Linked DNA regions of Ovis aries. The protein of the gene in region 1 interacts with the protein of each later gene in a pairwise test. Links are inferred from orthologs where the notes say so. Each region holds a gene or a part of one and is shown in the gene's direction. Other genes may lie near its edges. The genes, in order: NIPBL and MAU2.

Region 1 (3,565 bases):
TCTCATTTTACAGTATCGTTGTGCCCAAAACTCAGCCTGGTCAAACTCATAAATTAGGGAGATTATTTTAATACCTAAGAGTTAGAATTACAGAGGTATCTGAACCCTTGCTACTTGAAGTGCAGACCAGAACCAGTAGCACCAGCCTCACCTGAGAGCTTGTTAGACGTGTAGAACCTTAGGCCCGCCCTAGACCTGCTGACACAGTGTTTGCATTGTTGATAAAATGCCTAGGTGTTTAATATGCACATTGAGGTTTAAGAGGTTAATCATTTCCCAGGAACTTGATCCATCGTGTTATCTTATTTTACTTCATTAACTGTTGTAAATATACTTGTTCATGTTTCTCCTGTTTTATTTCTTAACAGCTGTATTTTGAATATTGCTTTGTAATCTGATCTTTTCCACCTCTGGAAACCAGTTGGCTTTGTTTCTTTTAAAAAGCTAACGGTTTCATAAAGTACAAAGAAACAATTTAATTTTTTAAGAAAAACTGCATGTTATGTTGCTAAAAAGTTCTTAAATGGGAGAGTTTAAAAGAAGGTGGGGGAATTCAAGACCTATTATATTTTCCTATAATTAAATTATAATTACTTCTTTTCCTCTATAATGGCTTACCTATATACAAGATTGTTACTTCTATAATTTATCTTTCATTGCTATCGTATAAGAAAATTCTTTCCCTTGGAATGACATTCCAGAAGGGTTTAGGGAGAGTGGCACAGTAGTTGCAGTGGATTTTATTTAGTCTTGGAACATTATTTTCTCCCTAAGGGTTACATCCCCAGTTGTTCACAGAAAGAGAGTTTTGATATATGGAACATTAAATTGCGGGTGCGTTTGAACCTGTTGAAGGAAGCATATGTATAGTTGTTAGTGGTATTTTCATTTTATTATTTTTTAGACAGAATAATTTCCTCTTTTTTTCAGTCTATGGTAAAAGACAAAAGGAAAGAGAGAAAATCATCTCCTGGTAAGGAAAATGAGTCAAGCGAGAGTGAAGAAGAAGTCTCCAGGCCTCGAAAGTCACGGAAACGTGTAGATTCGGATTCAGATTCGGATTCAGAAGATGATATAAATTCGGTGATGAAATGTTTGCCAGAAAATTCAGCTCCTTTAATTGAGTTTGCAAATGTCTCCCAGGGTATTTTATTGCTTCTGATGTTAAAACAACATTTGAAGAATCTCTGTGGATTTTCTGATAGGTAAGATTATATAAGCAGTGAAAGAAAAACTTGCTGACTTCAAATAATGAAGAAATATGAAACTCAGTTTTGATTGCATGCTGAATATTAAAAATCCTTTTTTATAAAAAGGAGTTTGTTCCTTTTAACTGCTAATAGTGTTTTTGTTGTATAATATACCATAATTTGTGCATTCTGTTATTGAAGAGAGGAGAGCTATATTCTTCTAATTGAAGATAATGCATCATAAATTAAAAGACTTATTATGTTGGCTTCCCTAAAAAGATATTAGAGAATTAGGCTAACCTTAAAAATAGATGGCAGGGACTTCCCAGGTGGTCCAGTGGCTAAGACTCTGCACTCCCAATGCAGGAGGCCTGGGTTTGATCCTTTGTCAAGGAGCTAGATCCCACATGCCACAACCAAGACCCAGCACAGCAAAATAAATAAAATCAATACAAGTAAATATTAAAAAAATAAGATGGCAAATTCAAGTTTTTAAAGAGCTGTGAATGAAGAATAAATAGATGCAGACCAGCTAGGCTAAGTTCTAACAGGATCCAGTAGTCTTTAATGTACACTATCAAGGTAAGAGATAGAAAAGTACTAATAACTTTGCACTATAATTTTATTCGTCATCAATCACTACACTGCCTGTACCCATGGAATGTTGGACATTTTTCACATTCATTGAAACCTTATGACGTTAAATGTTCATAGGGACAGATAAATGAATAAAGTGCACCCAGGTAGGTCATTAGCACAATGAAAAGAACACATTTGGGGTTCAGATATTCATCAGCTTGTTGCCATGGGAGAAGGTGGGAACAGTGTGGCCAAAGCTTCCATTTCTTTCAAGGGCAACTAGAAAATCCAGATGTTAATGGAAAAACCTTGATGTTAAATACTAGCAGCTGTAGGACCTACTGTGTTATATTGCACTTCACAGATACTACATTTTATACAAATTGAAGGTTTGTGGCTATCTTGCTTCATGCAAGTCTGTTGGCTCCATTTTTCCAACAGCATTTGTTCCCTTTGTGTCTCTCACATTTTGTAGTTATTCAACAATATTTAAATGTTTTTCATTGTTTTTTTAATGATGGTCTTTGATCAGTCATCTTTGATGTTACCATTGCCAAAAGATTACAATTCACTGGAGACTCATGATACTTTTTAGCAATAAAGTATTTTTTAATTGTATATGTACGTTTTTCAACATAATGCTGTTGCCCACTTTAAGTAGACTACAGTATGCTGTAAATGTAACCTTTATATTCATTGGGAAACAAAAAATTGATGTGGTTCACTTTATTGCAATAATTGCTTTATTGCAATGGTCTGGAACCAAACCTGTAATGTCTCCAAGGTATGCCTGTAATTCAAAATAATTTAAAACCTTGTAAAATCTTGGAGCAGTGCTAAGGAGATGGAAAGATTTTGAAATAAAGTTGTTAATAATATGAAGCAGGTCTGTAAACAATCATTCTGGCCGTGTAGAGAATGAAAAATCTTAGAAGAAGAAGGTAAGCCACTTAGGTAGCACTGAGTGATTATATTAAACCTATGCTACAGTCACAGTCATGGTACTGGAAAACAGACATGAGAAACTACTTTCATTTAAAAGGTGCCTCGATTCAAGACAAGCACTGAGGAAAGCAAGAGAATAGCACTCTTTAATCTTTGATTTTGTGTCTTTACTTCCCTTTTAAAAATTATTGTGTATACAGTTTCACTGGTTAAAATCTGTATGACAGAAAGTTTAGTTATAAGTAAATAAAACTTAACTAGAATCCATTTAAATGTAAATGTCTGAAAAAATTTTTTACATTAATGGTTTTATTTTCCTAAAACAGTAAAATTCAGAAATATTCTCCATCTGAATCTGCAAAAGTGTACGATAAAGCGATAAACCGGAAAACAGGAGTTCATTTTCATCCCAAGCAAACACTGGACTTCCTGCGGAGTGATATGGCTAATTCCAAAATCACTGAAGATGTGAAGAGGAGTATAGTAAAACAGTACCTAGATGTGAGTAGTAAAACCAAAATATGTTTCATTTTGGTAATGACTTTTTAAAATGTGAATACTTTTGAGAGGGCTACTGTCTTTAGCCTTTTCTGTTCCTTTTCCTTCTGGCAACCAGTGTCACAACTTGTTCATGTTTTCTTACAGAAGCAGTACAAGTATATATATATATACACACACACACACACACACATACGTGTATATATATGTATGTAAATACCCATTTAACAAGTGTGTATGTGAGTGTATTAATTATGCTTTAAAAATGTCTTTAAGAATAGGCAAATGCAGGGAATTCCCGGGTGGTCCATTGGTTAGGACTCCACACCTTCACTGCTGAGGGCTCAGGGTTC
Region 2 (4,376 bases), on another chromosome or scaffold:
TGATAAGACTATTAAGCTGATAAGATCCAATTGGTACTTTTATTTTTAAGATCATTCCAGCTACTGATTGGACAGAGTAACGAGACAACCAGGAGGCTTACTGGCTGTAAACAAAAGATGATGGTGTCTTCAGACAAGGGTGGTAGTTGTGGAGACAGAAAAGCCACTTTGAAGGTTCCCCGTGGGGCTCAAAATCCACACTCTGAAAGCTGATTTTGAAGACCCTGCCAGAGAGAACCCCCTTCCCACTTCCAGTTCATCCCTGATATTCCTCAAAATAACAAACCCTCAAGGCCTTTACACTTGCTGTCCCTCTCTCCATGGAAGGCTCTGCCTTCCAATAGCTGGCACCTTCTCATCTCAAATGTCTTCTGCTCAAAAAGGCCTTCCGTGACCACTCAATCTCAGCAGCCTGCATTTCCGCTCTCTCAAGTCACTATAACTAACTCTCTGTAAATATTTCCTCTTTGTGCATTGTATGATGCCTTGGTGAAAGTAACCTTCAGTAAGACACGACCCCATTTTGGATACCACTGTATCCTCGACAACTAACACTGTGCCTAGCACATTTGTTGAATGCATCCCAGTCTCGGGGCGCCAGAACTGGGAGAGAGGGAGAGGCAAGGTTTATGGTAAAAGGGGGGCTCTAAAGACCCAGGAAAATGTGTACAGGGAATCAGAGTGCAGTTCGGAAAAGCAGCTTTTCCAGAAAGTGGGATAGAGGCGAGGAAGGAGCTTAGTAGAAGAGAGGGGCGCAGAAGAGTCGAAGGTTGCCGCTGGCTCGGGGAGCGGAGCTTGGAGCAGCCCTTAAGGCGGTCAGCTCGGAAAGCAGGCGCCGGGCAGATAACCGTGGGGGCCTTTGAGGAAAGCCTGGCGTCCTCACCAAACCAGCAGTGGGGGCGGGGAGGATAACTGGGTCTCGGTGGGGGTCCCAGGAGACTGGGGTGGTGCAAAAGCCGCCTCTTCCAGACGCCCGGAGGCTGAGGCTAAGGGCCAACGGGTTGAGGTAGGCCCGACGGGATAGCGAAGCAAAGACGCGTAGCCTGAGGACCCAGGCGGACGCTTGAGGGTAGGCGGGGGCTGTTACCTGCAACATCCCGGTTGTCCATCTTGAGACTCATCCAATCCCACAATGCTCCGGCGCCACCGGAGGAGGAGGGGGGGGCCTGTTATAGTGCGCGTGGCATGATGGGAGATGTAGTCCGTCCCGGCAAGCCAAGACCTACCATTACTTGGACATCTGGGGTCTTCTCCCCAGGAACGCAAACCTCAGGCCATCGGCAATCTCTGGTCTCAGTTACGCGGACCAGAGAATGTCGCCTTTTCTCAGACCTTCCCGAAGCCGCAGCCACTTCAAACACAAACTACATATTCCAGGATGCTTTGTGCAGCAGCTCTCGCGAGAAAGGCGAGGAGCTCCGGGCCCGCCCCACGCGCCTGTTTCCGCCTCCCTGTGGCGGCGGCTTGTTGTTGTGCAGGCTAAAATGGCGGCTCAGGCTGCGGCGGCTGCTCAGGCTGCGGCGGCCCAAGCAGCGCAGGCCGAGGCGGCTGAGTCGTGGTACCTAGCGCTCTTGGGCTTTGCCGAGCACTTCCGCACTTCCAGCCCGCCCAAGATCCGCCTGTGCGTGCACTGCTTGCAGGCCGTGTTCCCCTTCAAGCCGCCTCAGCGCATTGAGGCCCGAACACATCTGCAGCTCGGCTCGGTGCTCTACCACCACACCAAGAACAGCGAGCAGGCGCGCAGCCACCTGGAGAAGGCGGTGAGCGTGGGCTGGGCCGCGAGGGAGGAGGCGCGGGTTCCTTTCCGGGCTTGAGCTGACGGGCCGCGACCCTGGCGGGCGGGAGCCGCCGACGGGCCGCTCCTCTGGAAACTGGGGCGTGACTTCCGCACGAGCAGCAAGACCCCCAAAGCTGTTAGCCTCTCTGGGGATCCGAGGGCCCCGCCTCGTACCTTACTGGGTATCTCCGGTGACAGCAGAGGCCTAGGACTCGGGATAGGGGAGGGTCCAGGTAACCCCAGGTAACAACAGTCCAGGCATCCTTTGAGAATCTGGAATTTGGCTTCCGAGGAAATCTAGGAAGGTCTCGCCCAGGACATGGACGTCTGAGGACTTCCAGACGGAAGATACTGTGCCCCCATCAGTGATGAGGGGAGTCATAGGCGGGAGGCAGACTCTAGAGACGGTTTGACGTCTTGAAAAAGGCAGAGCTGAGGGTTGCAGGGTTTGGATTCCAGGGCTCAGGACTCCTGCTTTCTCCACAACCACCTGTGACTTCTCTTCCTCCACCATCCGCTGGTCCATCCCCTTCAGAGGGCAGGCCCCATCTTCCCACGATGCCTTGTGGTCTTGGTGCCCCGAAGAATGTGAGAAAGTGGCCGTCCCTCTGCCCTCTGGGGCTGTGGAGTTGTTCCTTTCAGGGCAATACTGTGCTCCTGACAGTGTTTCCATTTGCCATTTACTCAGCTTTATTCAGCTTAGAGGAGAGACTTCTTGAGTAGAATCAACGACCATGTAAAAAATGTCTTGATCCGAGGTAAATCTGAATTCACCTGTGGCTAGTAACAAGTTGCCTTGGGGCAGATAATCAGATCTGTGTTTTGCAGACTGTAGAGTTGGAAGGGGCTTTTGTCCTTGCTTGAGCCACTTCCTTGCGTAAGGAGTGAGGCAGTATGGTCCCTGAGAGGTGAAGTGATTTGCCCAAAGCCACACAGCAAGTTATTAACAGAACTGGTCTCACAGGTAAGCTCAAGACCACCAGGGTGGATGCCACGACATTAAGTCGTCATTTTTGTGAAGTTTGTTTCTTCCGTGCATTCAGCAGGTATTTAATCAGCTCACACTGGGTACCAAGCCCTGTTCTAGGTGCCTCGGGTCAGCAGTGAATAATAAAACAGTCCCCCTGCCCGCATAAGCTTGTGTTTCTGTGAGGGAGACAAACAATGAATATGTCATAAAAGATTAGGCAGTGATCGAAGAACCATTAAACATGTGGACCAGGGTGAAGGTTGGAGTTGACAGGGAGCTATTTTTGGCAAAGGTAATCAGGGAGTCTCTATTTGTGGGAGTGACGTTTGAACAGAGGCCTGAATGAGGTGGAGGAGGCAAGCCTTGAGAACTGCTCCAGGTTTCATGTCAATCCCTTGAAGTACCCCAGTTGTCGATGACTAGTTGATATCAGGGTTTCTCCTAGACAGCAAAGAGGCCGAGAGCAAATGAAGTGTCAGGCTTTGTTGGGTGTATGAAGGGTGGAGGCTGTGACTGCCCAGGCCTGGCAGCCCAGGGCCTTCAATAGGATGCTAGTTATAAAGCTGTCCCTTCTCTCAGTTAACAACAAATCTTGCCACCTCCTTTGTCTGGTCTCCAGGCCATTCAGCCTGTTATTATTTTTTTTCTTTTTTTAATTGAAATATTATGGGGTTTTAAAAAATTTTGTTTGGCCATGCTGTGCAGCTTGTAGGATCTTAGTTTCCCAACTGGGGATTGAACCCGGGCCACAAATCAGTGAATGCACTGAGGAATTCCCAGTTGAAATGTAGTTGACATAACAATACAATAAATCCCCTACATACAAATGAGTTCCGTTCTAAGAGCACATTCACAAGTCCAGTTTATTCTAAGTCCAACAAAGTTAGCCTAGGCACCCAATTAACACAATCGACTGTATAGTACTGTACTAACAGGCTTATAGTACTGTACTAACAGGCTTATAGTACTGTACTAACAGGCTTATAGTACAAATACTATACAATAATACATAAACAGACACACACAAAAACTAGTTTTAATCTTACAGTACAGTACTTTGAAAAGTAGAGTGGCGCAGTACAACAGCTGGCGTACAGGGCCTGGCAGCAGTGCCACCGGCGTCACCCCTGCTTTTGTACTTGCTTCTGAGCATCCTGGGCTTGAAATAGAGAGACTGTACTCTGTACACTGCTGTACAGTAAAGTGCACAGGAGCGCAACCACTTGTAGACGGTGTACTCACGTGATAGAGTACGCCAGACAGGTGAGCTAGCTTCTGAGAGTGGACACAGGAACACACAATCACATCTTTGGAAGGTCGCAACTTGAAGGTTTCGTTTGTAGGTGGCTTACTGTATTGTGTTAGTTTCAGGGATAGTATGTAGAGCTTTGACATTTGCATGCATTGTGGAATGATCACCATAATAAGTTTAGGAACCATCTGACCTCATACAGTTACTACAGTATTACATGGAGCATATTCTTTATGCTGTGCATTACATCTCCATTGGGTTGCTTGTTTCATAACTGGAGATTTGTGCTTCTTAACCACTACCAGCTATTTTGCCCATTTGGCAACCCTTGTTTATTCTCTGTATGTATTAGTATGTTTTTGTTTTGTTTTTTAGAT

Evidence for each region.
Region 2: the proteins of NIPBL (region 1) and MAU2 interact in binary tests that used the Homo sapiens proteins (3 or more experiments, as listed by UniProt). The link is inferred for Ovis aries from reciprocal best matches to the Homo sapiens genes NIPBL and MAU2.

Annotation. Positions count from the first base shown.
Region 1 is NC_056069.1:37,326,596-37,330,160, reverse strand, and holds part of NIPBL (nipped-B-like protein), read left to right. Parts: intron 1-930; coding exon 931-1,205; intron 1,206-3,040; coding exon 3,041-3,215; intron 3,216-3,565. UniProt on the Homo sapiens protein: Plays an important role in the loading of the cohesin complex on to DNA. Forms a heterodimeric complex (also known as cohesin loading complex) with MAU2/SCC4 which mediates the loading of the cohesin complex onto chromatin.
Region 2 is NC_056058.1:3,776,864-3,781,239, reverse strand, and holds the start of MAU2 (MAU2 chromatid cohesion factor homolog), read left to right. Parts: upstream 1-1,466; 5' UTR 1,467-1,484; coding exon 1,485-1,760; intron 1,761-4,376. Other genes in the region: SUGP1 (SURP and G-patch domain-containing protein 1), read right to left, coding at 1,088-1,121. UniProt on the Homo sapiens protein: Plays an important role in the loading of the cohesin complex on to DNA. Forms a heterodimeric complex (also known as cohesin loading complex) with NIPBL/SCC2 which mediates the loading of the cohesin complex onto chromatin.